2 linked regions of the Nothobranchius furzeri genome follow. The protein of the gene in region 1 interacts with the protein of each later gene in a biochemical or structural test. Links are inferred from orthologs where the notes say so. Each region holds a gene or a part of one and is shown in the gene's direction. Other genes may lie near its edges.

Region 1 (10,439 bases):
CCGCTGAGCTGAGACCCAGAAACGTTCTCATCTAACTTTTGTCTGCTGATAATAAACCAAACTGTTAAATCTGGATCCACAGCACCAGGTTTCCATTTCCTACTGTAAATCTTTAACAGTTAACTCAACGGTTAGTGGAAACGACACAAAGTTCATTCTGCATCTTTAAATTCAAATCTCCAACACCTGATGCCAGAGAGCTGGATCGGACACACACACACACACACACACACACACACACACACCACATTTCTGACATGCCTTCCCCGTGACTTGACCTAATCTCATCTCTCCTCCATATTTCCTCCCGTTTGCAGGGAGAAGCAGAACAATGTCTGCGGTCTACTCTTCCATCACTCTTTCTCTTTCATTTGTTGTACTCTCTCTTCCTCTCCTTTGGTCACATGCCTTCCTTTCTCTGTTTGTACGGAAAGTAAAGGAGGACTAAATCAGAGCAAGAGGGATCTATTTTTAGTAGCGTTGCTGTTTGAAACCTTCAGTTCAGAGAAAACGAGCTCAGATATGGGACATCCCAGCATGCTTCTAACGAATCAGCTGGTTTCAGAGATGTTTGCAGGAAAAGGTTTTTAGGAGGGAACCACTGGACAGGACAGGCGGTCAGCAGGGGAAACCAAAGAGGAAGACATCATAAAAAAGATTTAGTCCTCGCATGTACAATCTAGCACACACACACACACACACAGCTATGTTTCCATTGTCAACACCATAAAACCAGACTCGAGCGGCCCTAAAGGCTGCAGCAGCCTCCACGTGTTCCTGTAAAGAATGTGGATGAAGTTCCTGCTGCAGCCTACCTCCTCTTAACCTCCCTGCTCTGTCGAAAGCAGTGTGTGTGTGTGTGTGTGTGTAGGAGAAAGTGCGTTCGGGTGTGAGAGAGTGTGTGTTGCGTAATAAACTAATCGCTCTCAGCTGGGCCTGCCTGGAAGCTTTTAGGGCATCTGGAAACGCGGAGAGAGCGTAAACGTGACGTCGCTGACGTCAGCGGGTGTACGCGTCACAGATGCGTTTATGACAGTCTGACGGGAGGGAAGCTGACCTGAAACTTGTTTTCAAATGTAAACAAGTCTGATTTCACATTGTTGAGTTTTATTCTTCATCCTGTGATGGAACCATTAAAAGTTCTCCATGACTTTCGGGATCGATAAATGAGTGAGCCACAGCCACCCTCTGAGAGTCTGATGGCGACGTCACGTCTGAGGTTTCATGGACTCGGCTCTAAAGTTGGTGAGAGAGAATCGACATGTAGAGGGTTCATCTAAATAAGGAGATGTTTCTTTTGGGGGTAATTTTAGTTTGGAGGCAGGAAAAGGGAAGAGATATTTTAACTCTATTGTAGCTGCTTCCGGCTGAGGTCAAAGGTCAAAGGAGCAAACATCAGGAAACCAGAGGAGATCGCTGCAGGAAAATAACTTATCTCTATTATTACTAATATGTCGCCTTCACATGATTAAATCAAAAATAGAACACTTCTTCACAGAATAATTTTTAAAAAGCGCTTTTTAAACTTTTTTTATTCTCTGGTTCAGTTTAGTGGTTAGAAATAAAGTTTTATGTGGTTTGCTGATGTTGCTCGGATCAAAACTCATCTGTCATCAAACCTCTCCAGTCTCAACAGTGTTTTTATTTTTTAACCAAATTACTATTTTTTATGCATGAATATTAAAGTCAGACATGTTCATGGAAACAGGCGGAGAAAGCACGGAGAACGCTAATATTTGATCCTGTTGATTAGAATCAGGATCTACTTAAAACATCACCCTTGTTATTCCTAACATCTCAGGGAGGGTGGGGGGTTGTGGGGTGGGGGGGTAACGCCTTATGTTTATGTTTATTTATTTGGCCGACGCTTTTATCCAAAGCGACTTACAATGTATAACCTATAGGGCATGTTGTGATCTGTGGGGGAAACCGGAGTACCCGGAGGAAACCCACGCATGCATGGGGAGAACACCCAACTCCACACAGAAAGGCCACAGCCGAGTTTCGAACCTGCAACCTTCGTGCTGCGAGGCAACAGTGCTAACCACTGCGCCACCATGCAGCCCTGATTATTTCATTTCATTTATTTATTTAAGGACCGTGCACATTAATATACGTTACTGTAAATGTGCCAGTGTTAGCCAGCAGGCTAATTTTCAACTGTAGTCCAGTGGCAAGATGTTATACTGAACACGATGGCTAAGGAGAAGAAAGAAAGAAAAAAACAAGAAAAAAACAGATTAAATGAGCATAGTAACTAATTAATATACAATTAAAACATAACACACAAAATAAAAACAAAATAGAAAAAAGAAATAAATAATTCATATACAACTCATTAGAGAATCAAAAGTAAGTGATAACTGAATAAAAAAAAATTACGAGTTAAAGAAAATTAACCATTTGGGCTCAAAGGCCCCCAGTTGGGGAATATTAACCCTTTGATGCATAACGGTCACTAAAGTGGACAGGTACTCAAAATTGTTATTTATTTAATTTTGCCATTAAGCACAGCTGTTGAAGACTTTAATGAATTTGAGCTCCTCCATTTGGACTTCAGTAAGTCAAGCCAACATATTTCGGTACAACTGAGGTGGACATGTAAGAAATTATTTGTAAATTATTCAACGTTATAAAAAATATTGGTTGAAATTTGTTTCATTCACACCCAAATATGTATGAAAAACAATTGTTTCAAAAATCTTGGTTGAAGATTTCATAATTCATGCATCAAAGGGTTAATTCATGCTCTAAATATGAATCGTTGTCGTCAAGCTGCACCTCTAAAAATACATCAGAACCGTAGCTGCACGGCCACGCAAGCATTTCTTATGTGCTCCCAATCAGTGTTGGGAGTAACGCGGTACATAAGTAATTAACTACTGTAATGCATTGCTTTTTGCTGTAATGTGGTAATGTAAGGCATTACAGGGAAAGAAAATGGTAATATTTACTCGGTACAATTGTCAGTAACGCGGTAATTACAATGCATTTTTAAACCCAGAATCTAGATGCGGGTTTCCTAAAAATTCTAATTGCGGGAAGCCTGAAAAAAGATCCAGTATCCACATATATGACGTCATTTATGGACTCAGCTTTGCGGGCATTCTATGAGCAGAGAGGACGCAGTGGTAATGGCTCAAACACTCCAGCTGCGTCCTGCGCGCGGCCGCTATTATATTCACAAAATCGCTCCACCAAAACAAAGTAATTCGTTTGCGATGGTTTATATCAGCCCATATTCTCTGGTACTTCATGTACTTTTCAGCTGAGTTCATAATCTGTGCACCGGTGATTTCAACTCCTTGCTGCTGGAGTGCAGCGCAAAGCTTTTTTTATTTATTTATTTATTTATTTATTTTTGTGTTCGGTAGATCCCTTTGGCTGATTAGTTAGAAACTAGGAAATCTAGTTTACAGTTTTTCTAGAAGACGGAGAAAACATGCAGCATGCAGGAAGGTTAGAGAGAGAAAGGGCAGGAAATTATTCACATAAAATCAAGAAAACAAAACAAAGTGCTTGAAAAGAAAAAAGTAGGTAGATTTATCCCCAACACACATTTTTACCAGTGAAAAGCAATAATATATAAGCATTTAATATTTATACATGTGATAGAATCAGATCACCCCAGAAGTCAGTCCCACATCCAGGGCCGTATCAAGGCATTTGGGGACCAAGGCAAATATAGGCTTGGAGCCCCCACCACCTCACTCCCTGCTCAGCTAATCTAAGATGGCAGCGTGCTGAGAGTACAGATCATTGTTGCTTTTATTTAACAAACAATCATTTTAAAGCACTGTTATTATATCTGACTGTTTTTAACAGCAATCCTAGCTCAGACACCACATCACTTTCCACATATATGTCATGAGCTCACTGAGCGTCACATGACCAGATTTATATTGAAGTTGTTTTGGTGAAAGTAACTTAAAGTAATGCAAAAGTAGTGTAATGCCTTACATTTTAAAATCAGTAATATTGTAATGTAATGAATTACTTTAAAATGAGGGTAACAAGTAATAAATAAGCCCTGCGCCTTAAAAAATACACAACATCACACAAACACCAAAAACAGTTGTGTTTATTCCAACAACCAGAGAACATAGCAGAGGCTTTACCGTGTAACCCGACTGAATAAACCCGGTCTGAAACGAGGCATGGCCAAAAGAAACGTTGCACAAAAGTTTCTCCGTTTAGAAAAAAACAGAAACAATATTTTCCTACGGACTCCCGCCTGCGTCCATCAGGCTGGAGCCTCGGGACAAGCGATTATCAAACAGATTGTTGGGGGAAGAGAATAAACACACACTTCCACTGCCACTTCTTACCAGCATTTCCTGTCCAGCTACTTCCTCTTCCTGTCTGTGTTGGGAGAGAACCAAGTGCTTTAAAGAAGGTCACCTTTGATCAGAGGAACACACTAAAACATCTTCAACCTCCACAGAAGCACCAAGCTAAATCCTGCTGTTCAGTTTAACGTCTGTCGTTCCACACAACGCTTTTAAATAAAAACCTTTCTTCATGCTCTGATTCACACCTTTAAAAATCATCAGGCGCATTTAGCACTACCTACACACTAGCGCTCTACAACCTCTGACACACACACACACACACACACACGGGCAGTGAGTCATGTCTGAAACACGAGGTGCCATCCTGCGGGTGTGGGAGATGTCCTCCACCCGTAACGCTCCTTGCATGAAGGAAACATCCAGAAAACATTGTCCAACATTTAAAAATCACCTTCATCTCCGTTTTGGGTGATTTAATGTTTGTGCTAACCGGAGTGTCAGATATTGGAGCTAGAACATGCAGAAGCTGATGGAGGGAGAGAAAAGACCATTACATAATCAGACTCTACAGTCAGTAACATGGACGTAATTTTCACTTTAAAAGTGTGTGTGTGTGGGGGGGGGGGGGGGGGGGATCTTTACAGTATACTCTAATGGGAAACAGGCTTCAACACAAATGGTTGTTTTCCGCTTGGTCCTAGAGCTCAACCAGTGTCAAATTAGAATAGCGTAATATTGTTTTTGGATGGTAAAAAGTGCAGGGGTCAAAACTTGACTTTGGAAAAAGTGGGGGGCACATGTCCCCCCCCTGTCCCCCCCAAAATTACGTCCATGGTCAGTAACCTACTTTAGTTCCCAGCTGCAGGAATGTCCACAGGAGAAGTCTAGAACGCTCTTGGATAGCTGATGTTTTTCTCCAACCGTCTGTCCAGGCGTGGAAAAGGCGCTGGTTTGTTCTGAGGAGCGGTCGACTCAGTGGAGAACCCGACGTTCTGCAGTACTACAAGAACCAGAATTCCCGTCGGCCAATTGGGACCATCAATCTGAATCTGTGTGAACAGGTACGTGTTGTAAAACGTGATTGGAGAAAAGGTCAGAGGTCGCGTTGACGTGTTTCACGAGTCTGGATGTTCCTTGTCTCAATTCCAGGTGGACGCCGGTTTGTCTTTCACAAAGAAAGAGCTGGAGAGCAGCTTCGTGTTTGACCTGAGGACGGAGGAGAGGACCTGGTACCTGGTGGCCGAGTCCGAGGAGGACATGAACCGCTGGGTGACGTCCATCTGCCTCCTCTGTGGATTCAACCCAACGGATGACGGTACGGCACACTCAGGCTGGAAGACATGCCTGTAGATTTGACTTGTTTGGTGTTTGGAGATGGACGGTTGGTCTGTGTGGGCTGATGCTGAGTCAGCGTGAAAACTGGTAGGAGGAGAAACCACGAAAGCAGCAGAGAAAGAGAGGGACAGAGAGGTCGCTGGGACTGTCACTGAGTCAGTCATGAAGGACGTCTTACAGCAAAATGTAGAAATCTGTAATCATCCATCTAAACCGGGTCTTTCTACAGCTTAAGTGAACTTTTTACCAGATGTCTGCTTGCAGATGCATGAAGGCGATAGTTTTCTGCAGAGATGAGTGGATTTTATGTTTCGGCTGCATGGTCCAGTGTAAGTATTTACTACAGCAGCAGGCTGACAGTCAGGGTGCCCGTGTTTATAGATCAGATACCATCTAACTGGCTAACTGATTCCTCACACCTGTCCCTGATGTCTGACGTGTAAGCGCCTCGTGTCCGTGTCACATCCTCCCTCGTGCTTTAGCTGGTCAGTGTTAGGGCTGCTGCACACATGGACCTGACCTCCTCCGGCCCATGCTCCACTTGGGCTGGGGTTCTGCCGCACCGCACCATCTAGGAAAAGATTCTGTCTGCTTAATCTAGATTAGATTATTAAAGAAAATAATCTGATTTTAACCGTTTTAATACACCAGACGGAACTGATGTGATGGACAGAATTTAAAGTTATCAGTCGTTTTTAACTAAACTTCTAATTTGGCCTTTTAGACTTTTCTAATGACGTTAAAGGATTATTTTTGTTTTTTAGCTCTTTTTGACCCACAGACACACACACACACACACACACACACACACACACACTCCCCCTCCTCTCTGACACCTTACCTGAGACACAACGCATCAGCAGGGTCCCTTTTGTAAACTAGCTTAAATTCCAATTATAGAAATGCGAACGATATTTGACCAACTTTTCTTTGTTAGCTGGTTTTGTTCCAGACTAAATGTCACCATTAATGTTGCACTCCTGGTGCAGCAAAAGGTCAAAATACAGCAGGATTTCCTTCTGCTGCCAAAATATTATTGCTGTGCAAAATAAGGACCACAATACAACATGTACAGCTGTGTAAATGTTTACATAACAACAACGAGATGTGCTTTGAAGTCGATGACAGGAATAGCCGCTAACTCGCCGGTCCTGTTCCTAAACCAGCAGCTGGTTTAGTGTTTATTTAGTTATCTAGTCCAGGTTTAACCAGTTTAGTACTGTTGTGTGATGGACGAGTACGTTTTAACACGCGTGACTGTTCATGATTATGTTACCAGTTCCATTTTCTACATTTTCAGAAAGACGTTTGAGCTCCGCCTCCACATGCGTGACCACAACCAGTGGTACCCCCTCTATCTCTATGGTAACTGGGTCTGTCCCGCCTCCGTATGACCCGGTGGGCGTGCGTCACCTGGAGCACGACAGCAGCACGGAGGAAGACTACCTGTGGTTGTCAAACTGCCAGAGTCACATGGGGTAAAAAACACAAACACAGAACTAAATTATTACTTAAAGCTGGATTTAACAGTTTCAAACCTCCCTGATCTTACAACTTAATGACCCGGTATTAGCAAGATGAGGGCTAATGACGTTACATCAAAGAGTGAAATTCGTTTCCTACGCCTCCAAAACGAGCCAAACGTGCTGCAGCTTGCTTCAGTTTCATGCGCTTCCCAACTGTTTGGATCCAGTGAGACTAACAACACACTGATGACAATCAGAGGGATTAGCTCAGGCCTCTTTCGCATCCGTAATGAGTCAGATGTGCCATGAAAGATTAGCTCATTTAGTTCCTAGAACCACGGGTGTTAGAACAAGCCGAGGATCTCCAGGAAAAACCAGAACAGAGCAGCTGAGAGTTTCAGGTTCAGACACGTCGGACTGAAGGATGGAGGTCCTCCGCCTCAGTCACACCCACGTGTTCCTGGTGCATCTGTGGAAAGGATCCACAGATTCTTGGCTATTTTTTGTATTACAACTTTAAAGGAAAAAAAACATCATTGTTTTCTTTTACTGAGCTAGATTAAACCCAAATGCAGCCTTTTTAATCTAAGCTAGGTTAGGATAACTCGTATTTTTCTTCAGGCCTCCTTTGGGTTCTTTCACTTCCCTGGAAACTGATTACAACGACAACATCTTCCCTCATCCTTCAGCCACCTCCACCTCCTCTTCCTCCTCCTCCTCTCCGTCCCTCCCTCCCAACAGCCTCCCCCCTCCATCCTCCAGCGTCAGGACAGCCCCCTGGACTCTATCTGCAATGACGAGCCCCCTCAGCCAATCGCTGGACGCCAGCATGACCTCTGACTTCCACAAACGGGCCGGCAGGCCTCACTGTCACCCCTCTCCTCATCCCAGAAAACACTCTCTAGATTTCCACCTGCGTCCTGTGGCCGCCTCGCTCAGAGAGGACACACATGTGGGCGGGGACCTCTCGTTCGCAAATAGCGGTTATCAGGTCCCCCGTCCAGCGTCAGCCTCCACACCTCAGCAGCTTCCTCCTCGCCGGCCATCATCAACGCCCAGTGTAGACTCCCTCACACCAGCAGAGCTCCACGCTTCCATCCCAGCGCCCCCTCCTCGGCCACCCAAGCCCCCTCCCAGTGCCACTCATGGAGAAAGCTCGGGACCTGCTACGTTACCCAGAGCCAACTCGGAGCCAGAGAGGAGAGAGGGACGCACAAACAGAGGACACCAAACCAAAGGTAACAGCAGCATAACCAGGGGCGGATTTAGGATTGAAAAAGATCCGGGGCTTAGCCCAGATGAGTGATCCTCTTTTTTAATGAAACATTTCAACTTTCACATTTTGACCAACAGACAAATGCACTACATTACACTTATTCACTCATATGATATAATGCATTTATTGTTAGCTGGTTCTGTGAAAACAAATCCTCTCTACTTTAGGATGTGAGCCACGTTTACACAGTAATTCTCACATTTATTCATATCCTTCCATTAAAGAGAAGGCTAAATTCACAGAAGTCACTGAAACTCAAAATATAACTAATGAAAAATATAATTAGGCAACAATAATTAGAGAATTAGAAAGCTCTACTGAGAAACTTTGGGGTTCGGGTTAGCCACAGTCTGGCTGAGTTACTGAAGCTCCTACGGGCGACGGTAGCGGAGGCCATTTACCAGAAACAGGCTAGCAGTTAGCTTCTTTCAGTTCGTCATTCATCAATGGCAACCATCTTGAAAATTTTATGTTTAATTAAAGTTCCATTAGACATCACACACACGGGTGAAAGTTGTCCTCTGCATTTGACCCATCCCCGTAGGGAGCGGTGAGCTGCAGACACGGCTGCGCTCGGGAACTATTTGGTGATTTTAATTTCATGCAATTTTGCAAAATTTGATGCAATCTGTTAGCATCAAGATTAAGTTGTGAAGCCACAGCAAATTCAATTTTGCTTATTATCAGTCAAATTAAAGCAATGCTTTTGTGGGGGGTTTGTTCCCCTTTTGCTAATTGCACCTAGCTGTGGCGGCCATCTTTATTTGAGTTTATTCTAAAAGTCAAAGAATTTTCTAGATTTTCTGTCTAATAGCATAGAGAGATTCAAAGTGTCTCACACACACACACACACACACACACACACACACACACACACACACACACACACACACACACACACACACACACACATTTCTGCCAAAGGGCAGGAAAAAACTAGCTGCGTTATTGACACATACTTAATCAAACCTTGTGACCCAGCAGGAAATTAGAACACTGATGTTAAGAAGCTTTGCTCCACTCACATTTCAGCATCTGAAACAATTAGCACTTGTTTTATTAGCTTGATCAGCGTTAGGATCATTAGGATGAGAACTTTGTCCACCAGCAGGACAAAGGTGTGTTTCAGCAGGAACATTCTTCTACTGCGATGCTGAAACCGCTTTATTCCCTGTTGGAGAAAAAGAACATTAATAGGGACGTTTACAGCCGAATTCTCCTCATCCAGACAAGCATGGACTTGGTTTAATACACAGATGTGTCTGGTGCCAGGCTGTTAGCACCATCTAGATTCAGATCTGGTCAAGCTCTGTTTGCACTGTGGAAAACACACACAACATGTTTGCCTGAAAGTTAAAAAATATATATATATATAAATATTAGAGTGTTGTTGTTTTTACGTTGTGCATTATCAGAGTCTATCATGTTTCTGCGCCGTTGGAAGTTAAACGAAAATAAAACACTGGTGCTTTTGTGTTTCAGGCTCCTGGCACATTCCTCTGTCTCGGTCAGACAGAGCCAGCATGTTTGAGTTCAGCGAAAGTTTCAACAGCTACTTTGTAAGTTAAACCAAATACTTGCTGAAACTTAAACGCACCATGTGGACCTTCGGGTCACTTCCTCTTTGAAATGCTGTTTTGTTTCCCAGTTTAATAAAGGCATGGTACCCCTGGGCAGCGTTTGCTCTGAAGACGATGACGTAGAAGAAAGCTACGTTCCGATGAGCGCCGCTGCCACCGAGCCTCCGCCAGCATCAAGGTGGGGGGGGGGGGGGGGGGGGGGCTATTTTGTTCATCCCTGTTTGTTTTAGGCGACATTTAAAAGTTAGTGAAAGTCGTTGTGAAGACTTTGCAGAAAAACCTGCATTCAATGCATCAGTCTATACATGGACGTAGTTTTCACTTTAGAAGTGTGTGGGGGGGGGCACGGGGGGGGGGGGGGTCGTTATTGTATGTGCTAACGGGAAACAGGCTTCAACACAAACGGTTGTTTTCCGCTTGGTCCTAGAGCTCAACCAGTCAGTTTCAAATAGCATAGTATTGTTTTTGGATGGTAAAAAGTGCAGGGGTC
Region 2 (10,439 bases), on another chromosome or scaffold:
ATAAACCCTGTATGTCAGGAAATATTGTCCTCAGTTTGTGTCTAAATTTAGCCTAAAATGTGTTATTTTGTAATTATGTTGTTTATTTGTTTACATTTTTCCCCTTTAGTCTTTAAAATACCAATATTTGCCCATAACTTTGTATTTTATGTCTGTTTGATGTCATCATTTAAAAATATTAGATCAGATGATACTCAGTACTCAAGTAGCCTTCTAATCAGATACTTTTTTTTTTTACCCTTACTTGAGCAATCCGTATTTCAGGAAAATATTGACCTCGGTTTGTGTCCTTCCAGTGAGCTTTGCAGATGTGGGAAAATGTCATCAGGCAGTAATCATTGTTAAGTTCATAATTATTCTCGGAGAGAGACCAACTCTTATCTGCCCCTGGGAGCCCCGTAATGCATAGCGTCATTTCAACATGGCGGTGTCTGCGACACGGTTTATATGCAGGTAGCGGCGCTGCGGCTGCTTTATATAGCGACTCGTTGCGTTCTCCCTCAACCCAAATCCTCGGATCACGCATTTTAGCTAAAACGCTAACGTTAGCTTGCCTTGCATTGACTGTAGAGTTGTGGGTGATGGTCACGCAGATGTGTCATGAGATAAGAAGCGTTGCTGCCTTTCACAGACACTTTTTCTGCTCGTGCTGCAAACAGGATAGCCGCCCGTCTTCTATAAACTTCCTCGGCATTCTTCAAATATCTAAAATATGCCCGTACTTCTGACTTTGTCTTCTTTGAGGGATAATAAATGTCCTCCTGAGCGCTGCCGTCTCCTCCTTTGACCATTATTTCAGCTTTAGCTTCAAGAAAGTTTTGTTGTAAACAAAGCGTGTATGTGCCGCCGGCAACTTCAGCAGATGATACGGTGGCTGGTAAGGGTCACCGCGCCTACACCGCAGCCACGGTAAACCCACCAAGATAATATAGTTTTTTAAAAACAAGACGGTTATTATTGTCAACATTTTTTTTACCGGGGTTTAGCGCTACACTGGTTACCGTGACAACCCTACCTGATCGGTTTGCTTTGATCTATTTTGAAAATTCCGATCAAAACCGATAGGGGCGCTATCGGCCGATTACGATCAAATGCCGATCCATCGGTGCATCCCTAATGATAATATCCCAAATTGCATAAAAGTTTATTTCAAACAAAGAGATGATCATTATAATCTCAGAGGTGTATTTATGTTTGAATGTGTAAAAGCCAGAACTAATGTGAAATCAAGATGTGTTTCCATTCTTGGTGTGAAATTGTGGAATGAGTTAGATGATGATTTGAAGAAATGTACTTCTTTACTAAAGTTTAAAGCAGGTGTAAAGTGTCACATATTTACAGGGTATGAAAAGTAAGTATAGACATTAATGAATTTTCATTGTGGTTATTTATATTGGGGAAAATAAAAGAAATGTATATTGGTTATGTATCTTAGGTGGAAAATAGGGTAGGCTAAAATAAGCTTTGCTTCTGCCTATTCCTTTTTTGGTTTAAATTCAAATTGTTAATATTGTTTTGTTTGAAAAAAAAATTTTATGTTAATGCTATAAACCAAAATAAAGACCGAAAGAAAGAAGAAAGAAAGTGTTAAACGCCTTTAGTTTCACCATCAAGATCAAATATAAATTAATTACTGTTATCAGTGATAACACTAATAAATTTATATATATATATTAATCAGAATTATTATCGCGGGCGGCCGCCGCCAATTAATTCGCGGACCTCGCAGTAAAAACAGGTTCACTCTGTGTGGATATTTCAGCTCCTTCCCAGTCATGGACCAGGACAAACTTGGTATCGATGGATTCGTGGTAATCTCAGGAATGAGAAGCTGCCACTGTTTTTCGTATAGCATGATGACACTGGTGTTAGAGGATTGTTATTGACCTGGTTAGATATTTTAAGCCTATTTTATATTTCTTTATATTTGATCTTGAAAACGGACAATCTTATAATTTGGCTGATAATGCAGGGATTATAAAATTTAGAGTACATTACATTCACAGAGAGAACCTGGTTTATTTCATGTCATATGTATTTAATATATCAATATATATCAGCAAAGCTTAACATCATGAACCATGACAGACATGACTGAAGAGCAGATGAAGATATCATGCCAGGCACTGATGAGAAAATATTACAAGGATCTCACAGCTGAATTTGAGAATGAGATGCTACACCTGAGAACAATATATGGTGCCACATTTCCACACATTCGGTCTCCTCTTGAGCTGCTTAATGCCATCTACAGGATGCAATTACAGAGCATTTTTGGAGAAGTTTATATTGGACTGAGGATATTTTGCACACTACCTGTGACTGTTGCTGGGGGTGAACGGGCTTTTAGCAAACTGAAACTGGTGAAAAATTATTTGAGATCAACAATGTCCCAGGATAGACTGAACAGCCTAGCTCTTCTTTCTATTGAAAGCCAATTAGCCAAAGGATTGGACTTTAAAGATCTCATAAGTGATTTTGCTAACATGAAGACCCGTCAGTGGGCATTTACTGGAAAATAAATTCCAGGATTTTTGTTTGAACACATTGTTGGCAAATAAAAATAATTATATGTGAAGTCTGGGCTTTTCACTTTTATTATGCTGGCATTTGTATTTGCTCAATATAGAGGTTAAACTAAGATCATATTTATTGTCTTGTCTTATAGCATGACAAAAAATGTGTAAGAGAGATATTAAGTAATTGAGCATGGGGGCCCACCTAGAAGACTTGTACCTAGGGCCCAGAATTTGGTGCTACGCCCCTGGTTCCAACTATCAGCTTGTGGAGCTCTCAGGAGACCGATGTTTTCCACCCGTTTCTCCCCTCCCCGCAGCTCAGCACATCTCTGATCGCTGCGGCCCCTGTCTGCTGCGCGGGCTGACGGCTTGTGGAGCTCTGGGATGGAAACCTTTCCACCCGGTTCTCCCTAGCGGCAGCTCTGCGCATCTCAGATCGCAGCGGCGCTTGTCTGCTGTGCGGCTGCCGGCTTGTGGAGCTCTCGGAGACCTCTGTGTTCCACCCGGTTTTACCCAGCGGTCAGCCCGGCGTATCTCTGACTCAGAAGCTCTGGTGTTGTGCACAGTTAGCTCTCAACTCAACTCAACTCAACTTTATTTATAAATCGCGCCTTACAGGCAAAAAGATGCCACCAAGGCACTACACTGATCAAATAAAAACATAAAACAGTAAGTCCAGAAAATAAAACATTGTATCACACGATACAGTTAAAACTACAGTGAGTAAAATCGCTATAAGTAAAACAATAAAACTAGTTAGAAAGGTTAAAAGACAGGTCATAAAAATATGTTTTTAGCCTTGCCTTAAAAACTGCAACAGAGGTGGAGGCCCTTATGCTGAGAGGAATCTTATTCCAAAGCTTAGGACCTGCCACAGCAAAGGCCCTATCACCACGCGTCTTTAGGTGCGTTCTTGGGACCGAGAGGAGCATGGAGTTCTCCGAGCGGAGTGACCGTGAAGGGGTGTATGGTTGAAGTAGTGACACCAAGTAAGGAGGGGCTAAACCATTTAAAGTTTTAAAAACTAGTAAAAGTATTTTAAAATGAATCCTAACATCAACGGGCAGCCAGTGAAGCGCATCCAGGACAGGAGTTATGTGGTCAAACTTGCGCCTGCCCTCTAAAAATCTGGCAGCAGCATTCTGCACCATTTGCAACCTGGCTATTGAGCCCTTGCTCACACCGAATAGAACAGAGTTGCAGTAGTCCAATCGCACCGTAATAAAAGCATGGACCATCGTCTCAAGATCATGACGTGACAGAAATGGTTTGAGCTTTGCCAGCCGACGAAGGTGGAAAAAGGAGGAGGAGATCACTCCATTGATGTGGGTATCAAAACTAAGGGCGCTATCTAGTTTAACACCAAGATTAGTCACCGATGTAGACAGCTGTCCCTTAAATGACCCACAGTCAGTTAGGGAAGAGTCACAATGTATGCTTGGAGCAAACAATATAGCCTCTGTTTTCTGATCATTTAGGCTCAGAAAATTTTCAGTCATCCAGGTCTTGATCTCCCTCAAACAGTTTGTAAGAATAGAAATAGAGAGACCACTTGACGTGTTCAGAGGCAGGTACAGCTGACAATCATCAGCATAAAGATGGAATTGAACTCCAAGCTCACGACAGATGTCACCTAAGGGTAGAATGTAAATAGAAAACAACAGAGGGCCCAATATCGAGCCCTGTGGTACCCCCCAAGGTAGATCAGAGTACTCTGAGGAATACCTTCCCATCCTAACACACATTTTTCTATTTGTCAGGTATGATCTAAACCATTCCAGGGCTAATCCTGAAATCCCGACATAATGATGAAGACGGTGAAGCAGCACTTCATGGTCTATCGTGTCAAAGGCTGCCGTGAGGTCCAGCAGAAGTAGCAACACAGAATTACCGCTATCAGTCGCAAGATAGATGTCATTGAGTACTCTAACCAGAGCAGTCTCCGTGCTGTGCAGAGCTCTGAAGCCAGACTGGAAAGTCTCAAAAATGGCATTCTCGTCCATAAAAACCAAGAGTTGGTGATAAACACATTTCTCTAGCACCTTACTCAAGAGCTCTGGTTGTAGCTAGGTTGCTACCTCCGTTAGCTTAGCTCCCACCTCCGCGTTAGCTTTGGGTTAGTTTCAGGTTAGCTTGTAGCTAGTTCGACCGGGTGTCGTCAGTTGATCCCAGCCTTACAGCCCCACCCTCAGCTCCACCTCTCTTCCCTTTTGTGGAATTGTCTGGGCTTGACAGAACCTGTGACACGGTCAAAATGGCGGTGGTGGCCACCTCCCATTTCTCTTCAAAAATGTGTTATTGAGCTTGTGGAAACCCATTGTCCATATATGTATATGTCGTTGGTACACACACCGGTGCTCACATGGTGCTCTCATAAGTATGGACTTGGGCACGTTCAACACATGTCTTAAGGCTGTCGTTGCCACTAAATGCACTATGATATATTATTTTGTGATTGTTCAGTAAAACAATGATGATTTTATATTTCTTCATTAGGTTGATGCAGTGATGATGGCATGCTCCTGTTGTATTGTTGTGTGTCCCTTTCCTGCAGGTCTAGAAGCAGACTATTGTTCATCATTGATTGTTCTTTTTCGTGGATTGACAGCACACTGAAGTGCTGTGAACAAGAGCTCGGAGTGTCTGTCATAGGTCATAGGTCAGATAGCTTGTTTTGGAGACTTATGTGGCAGTGTTGAGAAAAAGCAGCATTAAAACACTCATTTTTACACTGTGAAGATACTAAAACCATAAACATATCAAGATAAATGCTTCCGTTAGAAACAAAGTGTTTAGTCAATAAGCGGATTTTATTATCAGATTATAACATTATGAAACATTTTCCTCTCAGATGGAGCCACGGACAGAGTGTAAACTTCCTTAATCTTCCTTCTTTTTCTTTGTCTCTGCAGAAACCCACTTGTCGTGGACCGCTGTCTCCTATTTTTCTAACCAACGCTGTTCCTAATGGAGTCAAGAGGAAAGTATGATTTTACTGCCACAGCAGACGATGAGCTGAGCTTTAGGAAGGGTGACATCCTGAAGGTGAGTCTGAATCATCAGGTGTCAGGATTTATGAGCCGATGTGGGTCCTGAATCTGTGTTCCCGCTCAGATCCTTAGTCTGGAGGAAGACTGGTGTAAAGCTGAGATAAGTGGGCAGGAAGGATACATACCCAAGAACTACATCGATCTGCAGCATCCGGGGTGAGATAGACGCACACACACACACACACACACACACACACACACACACACACACACACACACACACACACACACACACACACACACACACACACACACACACACACACACACACACACACACACATTAACTCAGTCCCCAACACAACAACCCACTGCTCGTTGTTCAGGTGGTTTCGGGAGAACATCAGTCGCGTTGCTGCAGAGGACCAGCTGAGGAACAAACCCCTGGGAGACTTCTTGATCCGAGGATCTCAGAGTTCTCCTGGAGAGTTCTCCATCTCCGTCAAGTAGGTCCACTGAGTCTCTGCTCTGATGTGAGCTCAACTTTAGCAACAGGAATCCAGAATCTCCCTGACTGTTGGAGACAGAACTGGGACAAAACCTGAAGCTGGAATCAGACTTCCTATGAAGCTTTTATAAGTTCATCTGGGTCACAAGATGTGAGCGAGAACATATTTCAATGGTGCTAATTTTTTTTATCACTATTTAGTCATGAAGTTTATTTATTAGTTCTCAATTTTATCTCGATTCTTCCTTAACTTGTCTCGTGCTTTTGTGCTTTCTGATTTAGAAGCTTGACTGGGTCAGGTTTCGGATGGGTTTTAGGCTGAGTCCAGATACCTGCACTGATTCTGAGAATATTCCGAGTAGTTCAAACATTTCCAACATTCCTGAACCTCACCGTTAGCGATGTTTACGAGGAAGTTTCCAAAGTGTCTCAAAATGCTGTGGGGTATCTCCAGTGAGTCTCGGGGCGTCGCTCCCTCGTGTTACTGAGGTTTTGCAAATACTGAGAAAAAGACAATTATTGCTTGAAATTAATCAGAGTTGTTGCAGACGTCTGAATCATGTCTCGGTTTAGTTTCTGAGGTAAAGTGTGAGACTTTGGCAGGAGTTGTGGACAAATGGTGAAGAAAAAGAAGCGTAAATGAAGCTCTCTGTAACTGACCTACAGCAGAAACATCTGTCTCAGAGGTTAAATTTCAAGTGCCTGAAGTACCTATTTAATCTGGTCTGGCTTCCGCTGGTAAATAACCAAATAATCTGGATTATGATCGGGACTAAAATACATTTCCTGTTAGAAAGACGAACTTCCTTAGATCATATTTTAGTTTCTGTGTGAAAGTGATTTAATTTCTGTTGGCGTGTTTCTTCTGTAAAACCTGTTCCTGCTCTGGTTTCATCATCAGAAATAATTCATCTTTTACACACATTAGTTTCCCAAAACTCTGCAAGACTTGTTATTAAACTAAATCTAAACAAGACAAATGAAACTGATCAGAGACAAAGTTCTGTCCTCTGAGTAGACGCTTCGGTTGGTTTCACCGCTTTAGTACAGAAAAGTGCTGATGATTAAATTCTCTTCAGCTGTTCTGATGGTGCGCGCACTCACACACACACACACACACACTCACTCACATATATATATGTATGTATACATACATACATACATACGGTATACATATTTATAAATATATATATATATATATATATATATATATATATATATATATATATATATGTATAAATATGTATGTATGTATGTATGTATGTATGTATGTATGTATGTATGTATATATATATATATGTGTGTGTGTGTGTGTGTGTGTGTGTGTGTGTGTGTATGCAAAGCCAAGTTCTGCATGGACAATGATCAACCACTTCCATCCTTCTTCAGCAGATTGAAGCTGAATTATTTCAAACATCTGGACGCTGAAGCAAAATGAACAGTGACCTAATAAAATATTTAAATTAAAGCTTAAAGGATGGTGACATAAATCATCCTAAAATGATTTTGAATTATTTGTTAAGAGTGAATAAAAAAGATGATATACAATGGTCCAGGCGTAATGTCAGCTATTCCAATACACTATAAACTCATCTCCATGTTACTTCCTGATCAGTTGAAACATGGTTGTTGCAGTTTTCCACATTGACCAGCAGAGGACAATCCAGCCTTGGGATGTAGGAAACTGGGAATCACTTTGGTTTTCATAATAAAATATAAAAAATGAGCCAGAATGCTCCATTTCATCCTGAAAAAAATGTTTCACATTTCTGGCACAAAAAAAAAGTCTGATCCTGGAATATGTAAATATGTGTATATATATATATATATATATATATATATATATATATATATATATATATATATATATATATATATATATATATATATATATATATATATATATATATATATATATATATACACTATATATATACAGTATATATATATATATATATATATATATACAGTATATATATATATATATATATATATATACACTATATATATATATACTGTATATATATATATATATATATATATATATATATATATTTATATATATACAGTATATGTATATATATATATATATATATATATATATATATATATATATATATATATATATATAACTCAAAGCTCCATAGGAGGAATAGAAGAACAATGTGATGGTTACTCTCTGTTTAGAATGTATTGTAGTAAATCTGCAGGGTTGTTGTGTTCTTAGGAAAACGGAAACTTGAAGGCCAACTCTCTGTAGGAGTTTCAGGTCACTTTGGCTACATTGTAGCTCATCACCATCAGTGTGTGAATGTGTTCTCTTTGCCAAAATACATTTGTTGGACATGAGAAAACTATAACTGTCCTTCTTCGCCTGAAGTCTTCTGCACATAGCAGTGACTGAGCTTGTAAACAATAGGGTATAAACACAGGTTGCACATGAGCCTTTTTGACGTGGCCACTGACGTAGTGAGACCTAAAATCATCGTCAGTCACGCACACAAACAACGTAGAATTTCCAAATCTCCACTTTGGTCAGATCTTTTGAAAGACTTGTTTTTTGTGCCGTTTATTTTCACTTTTGTGTTGATGACAGGCCAAATGTAGAAAAACGATTTAGTTTTGTGGGAAACCTGGCTAGGTGTGTACAGGGCCTCATTGATGTTAACATGCCAGGTTTTTATTTCCATGTTTTAAAAAACTTGTCATCGTCTGTTAAATGTTGGTTTCCCTTTGAGATAAATCGGTATTGGTCCTCAAAACCAGAGGCGGTGCATTTCCAGATTTAGCTGTTTTCCAGTTTAAATGTGTCTAAAATTGTTTGATTTTAAATTATTCCAATTGGACAAAAGTTGATTTTGTTTGTCTTTAGCTTCACAAACTGAATTCCTGAATGTTTTTTCTGTGACAGTCCAGAGCCGAACAACAGACTTCCTCCTGTCTGACCCTGACATTTGTCCTCCGTCTTCCCTCAGACACGAGAACGACGTCCAGCACTTCAAGGTGATGCGAGACAATAAAGGCCAATACTTCCTGTGGTCGGAGAAGTTCACCTCCATCAACAAGCTGGTGGACTTCTACAGAACCACATCCATCTCTAAAACCAGACAGATCTTTCTGAACGACGGCAGCGCAGACACCAGGAGCCCCCCCGTGACCCAAGTAGGAACCGATTTCTACGCCTTAGTCAACGTTTCATTTAAAAGAACTCAAACTACACAACTAAAATGTCATCTCCCATTATGACTATTATAATGTGTTATTTATCAACAAATCATAAAATAATTCAGAGTTAAAGGTTGAAAATGAACTCATTTGGCCTTTTTTGATATTTTAGGTTATTTTGTGCAAATAATCAAGAAGCTAAGTAAGAAGCAGGAACTGAAACTGAATTATTATGATTTAAAATAATATAAATCACTGTTGTAACATATCAGCAATTTTAGCTGAATTACATTTTAGTCCCTTCTTCTGAAGCATAACTGAAAAAAAACATATTTTAATCATATAAAAAAACTAGAATGTTTGAGGTTATATCATTATTTTACAGTATTACTTCAATAATAATATGTTGTTAACTTATTATTACATTAATGAATTATTAATACATTGCTACCTCTAAATAGTGTATTTTATCGCTAAACTGTATTAAATAACCCTAATTCAAAAGAATAAAAATGCAAAGAACAATATTTCTTAATATAATTCTTGACAATAAATGGTGAATATTTCTATTAGAGCTGTTTGTTCTATTTTAGGTACTAAAATAAGATAATTAAAACTATAATATTTTATTAGGAGACAGCTTTCTCTGATTGTCCCTTCAGACTGACTTTAGAGTACGTGTGTCAGACACAAGGCCCGCGGGCCAGATGTGTCCTTGTGTCGGTAATAAACATATAAAATATATTAAAACTGACCTGCTGGCCAATTTTACCTTAAAGACTACAACTCTCATGATGCTTTGCGGCGTTAGCGCGGCAGAGCCGAAGCGCCCCCTCCTTTGTGTTTTTCCAGCGTCTGCTGCCGGTGTCGGTGCAGGATCTGCTCGGGTACAGAATCGGCTCGGGGTCCTTCGACTGCCGATGACGTCACATGACTGCAAATCTACTCGGCTTTCACACACACGTTTAGGAAAGACATCAGCAGTTTTGTTAGTAAATTCTTGTTTGTTAACACCTAAATGTTTTCTTTATAATTGTAATTTGTTAATAAAACACCATGTTATCTTAGTTTTGTAAAGAATGTGAAACTGCATAAAACCAACATCAGACTGACTAAAAATAGAACAGTTCTTATATGTGAAGCCACATCTGTTTGTATTAATGTGGAGTTCATCTGTACATTTCCTTAGTTGTTATCTAAATACATTCTTCGACTCAAAATGTCGCTTGGTGTCTTTCAATAAAGTTCTTATATTTTA

What was found.
Region 2: the proteins of GRB2-associated-binding protein 1 (region 1) and grap2a form a complex in vitro, tested with the Homo sapiens proteins (2 studies listed by BioGRID and IntAct, with this or other methods). The link is inferred for Nothobranchius furzeri from reciprocal best matches to the Homo sapiens genes GAB1 and GRAP2.

What each region holds. Positions count from the first base shown.
Region 1 is NC_091742.1:87,975,447-87,985,885, forward strand, and holds part of GRB2-associated-binding protein 1, read left to right. Parts: exon of another isoform or gene 1-1,224; coding exon of another isoform or gene 1,225-1,245; intron 1,246-5,224; coding exon 5,225-5,353; intron 5,354-5,441; coding exon 5,442-5,607; intron 5,608-6,927; coding exon 6,928-7,105; intron 7,106-7,714; coding exon 7,715-8,331; intron 8,332-9,851; coding exon 9,852-9,928; intron 9,929-10,017; coding exon 10,018-10,127; intron 10,128-10,439. UniProt on the Homo sapiens protein: Adapter protein that plays a role in intracellular signaling cascades triggered by activated receptor-type kinases. Plays a role in FGFR1 signaling. Probably involved in signaling by the epidermal growth factor receptor (EGFR) and the insulin receptor (INSR).
Region 2 is NC_091745.1:28,873,309-28,883,747, forward strand, and holds part of grap2a (GRB2-related adapter protein 2a), read left to right. Parts: intron 1-5,431; 5' UTR 5,432-5,486; coding exon 5,487-5,564; intron 5,565-5,633; coding exon 5,634-5,725; intron 5,726-5,894; coding exon 5,895-6,014; intron 6,015-8,991; coding exon 8,992-9,178; intron 9,179-10,439. UniProt on the Homo sapiens protein: Interacts with SLP-76 to regulate NF-AT activation. Binds to tyrosine-phosphorylated shc.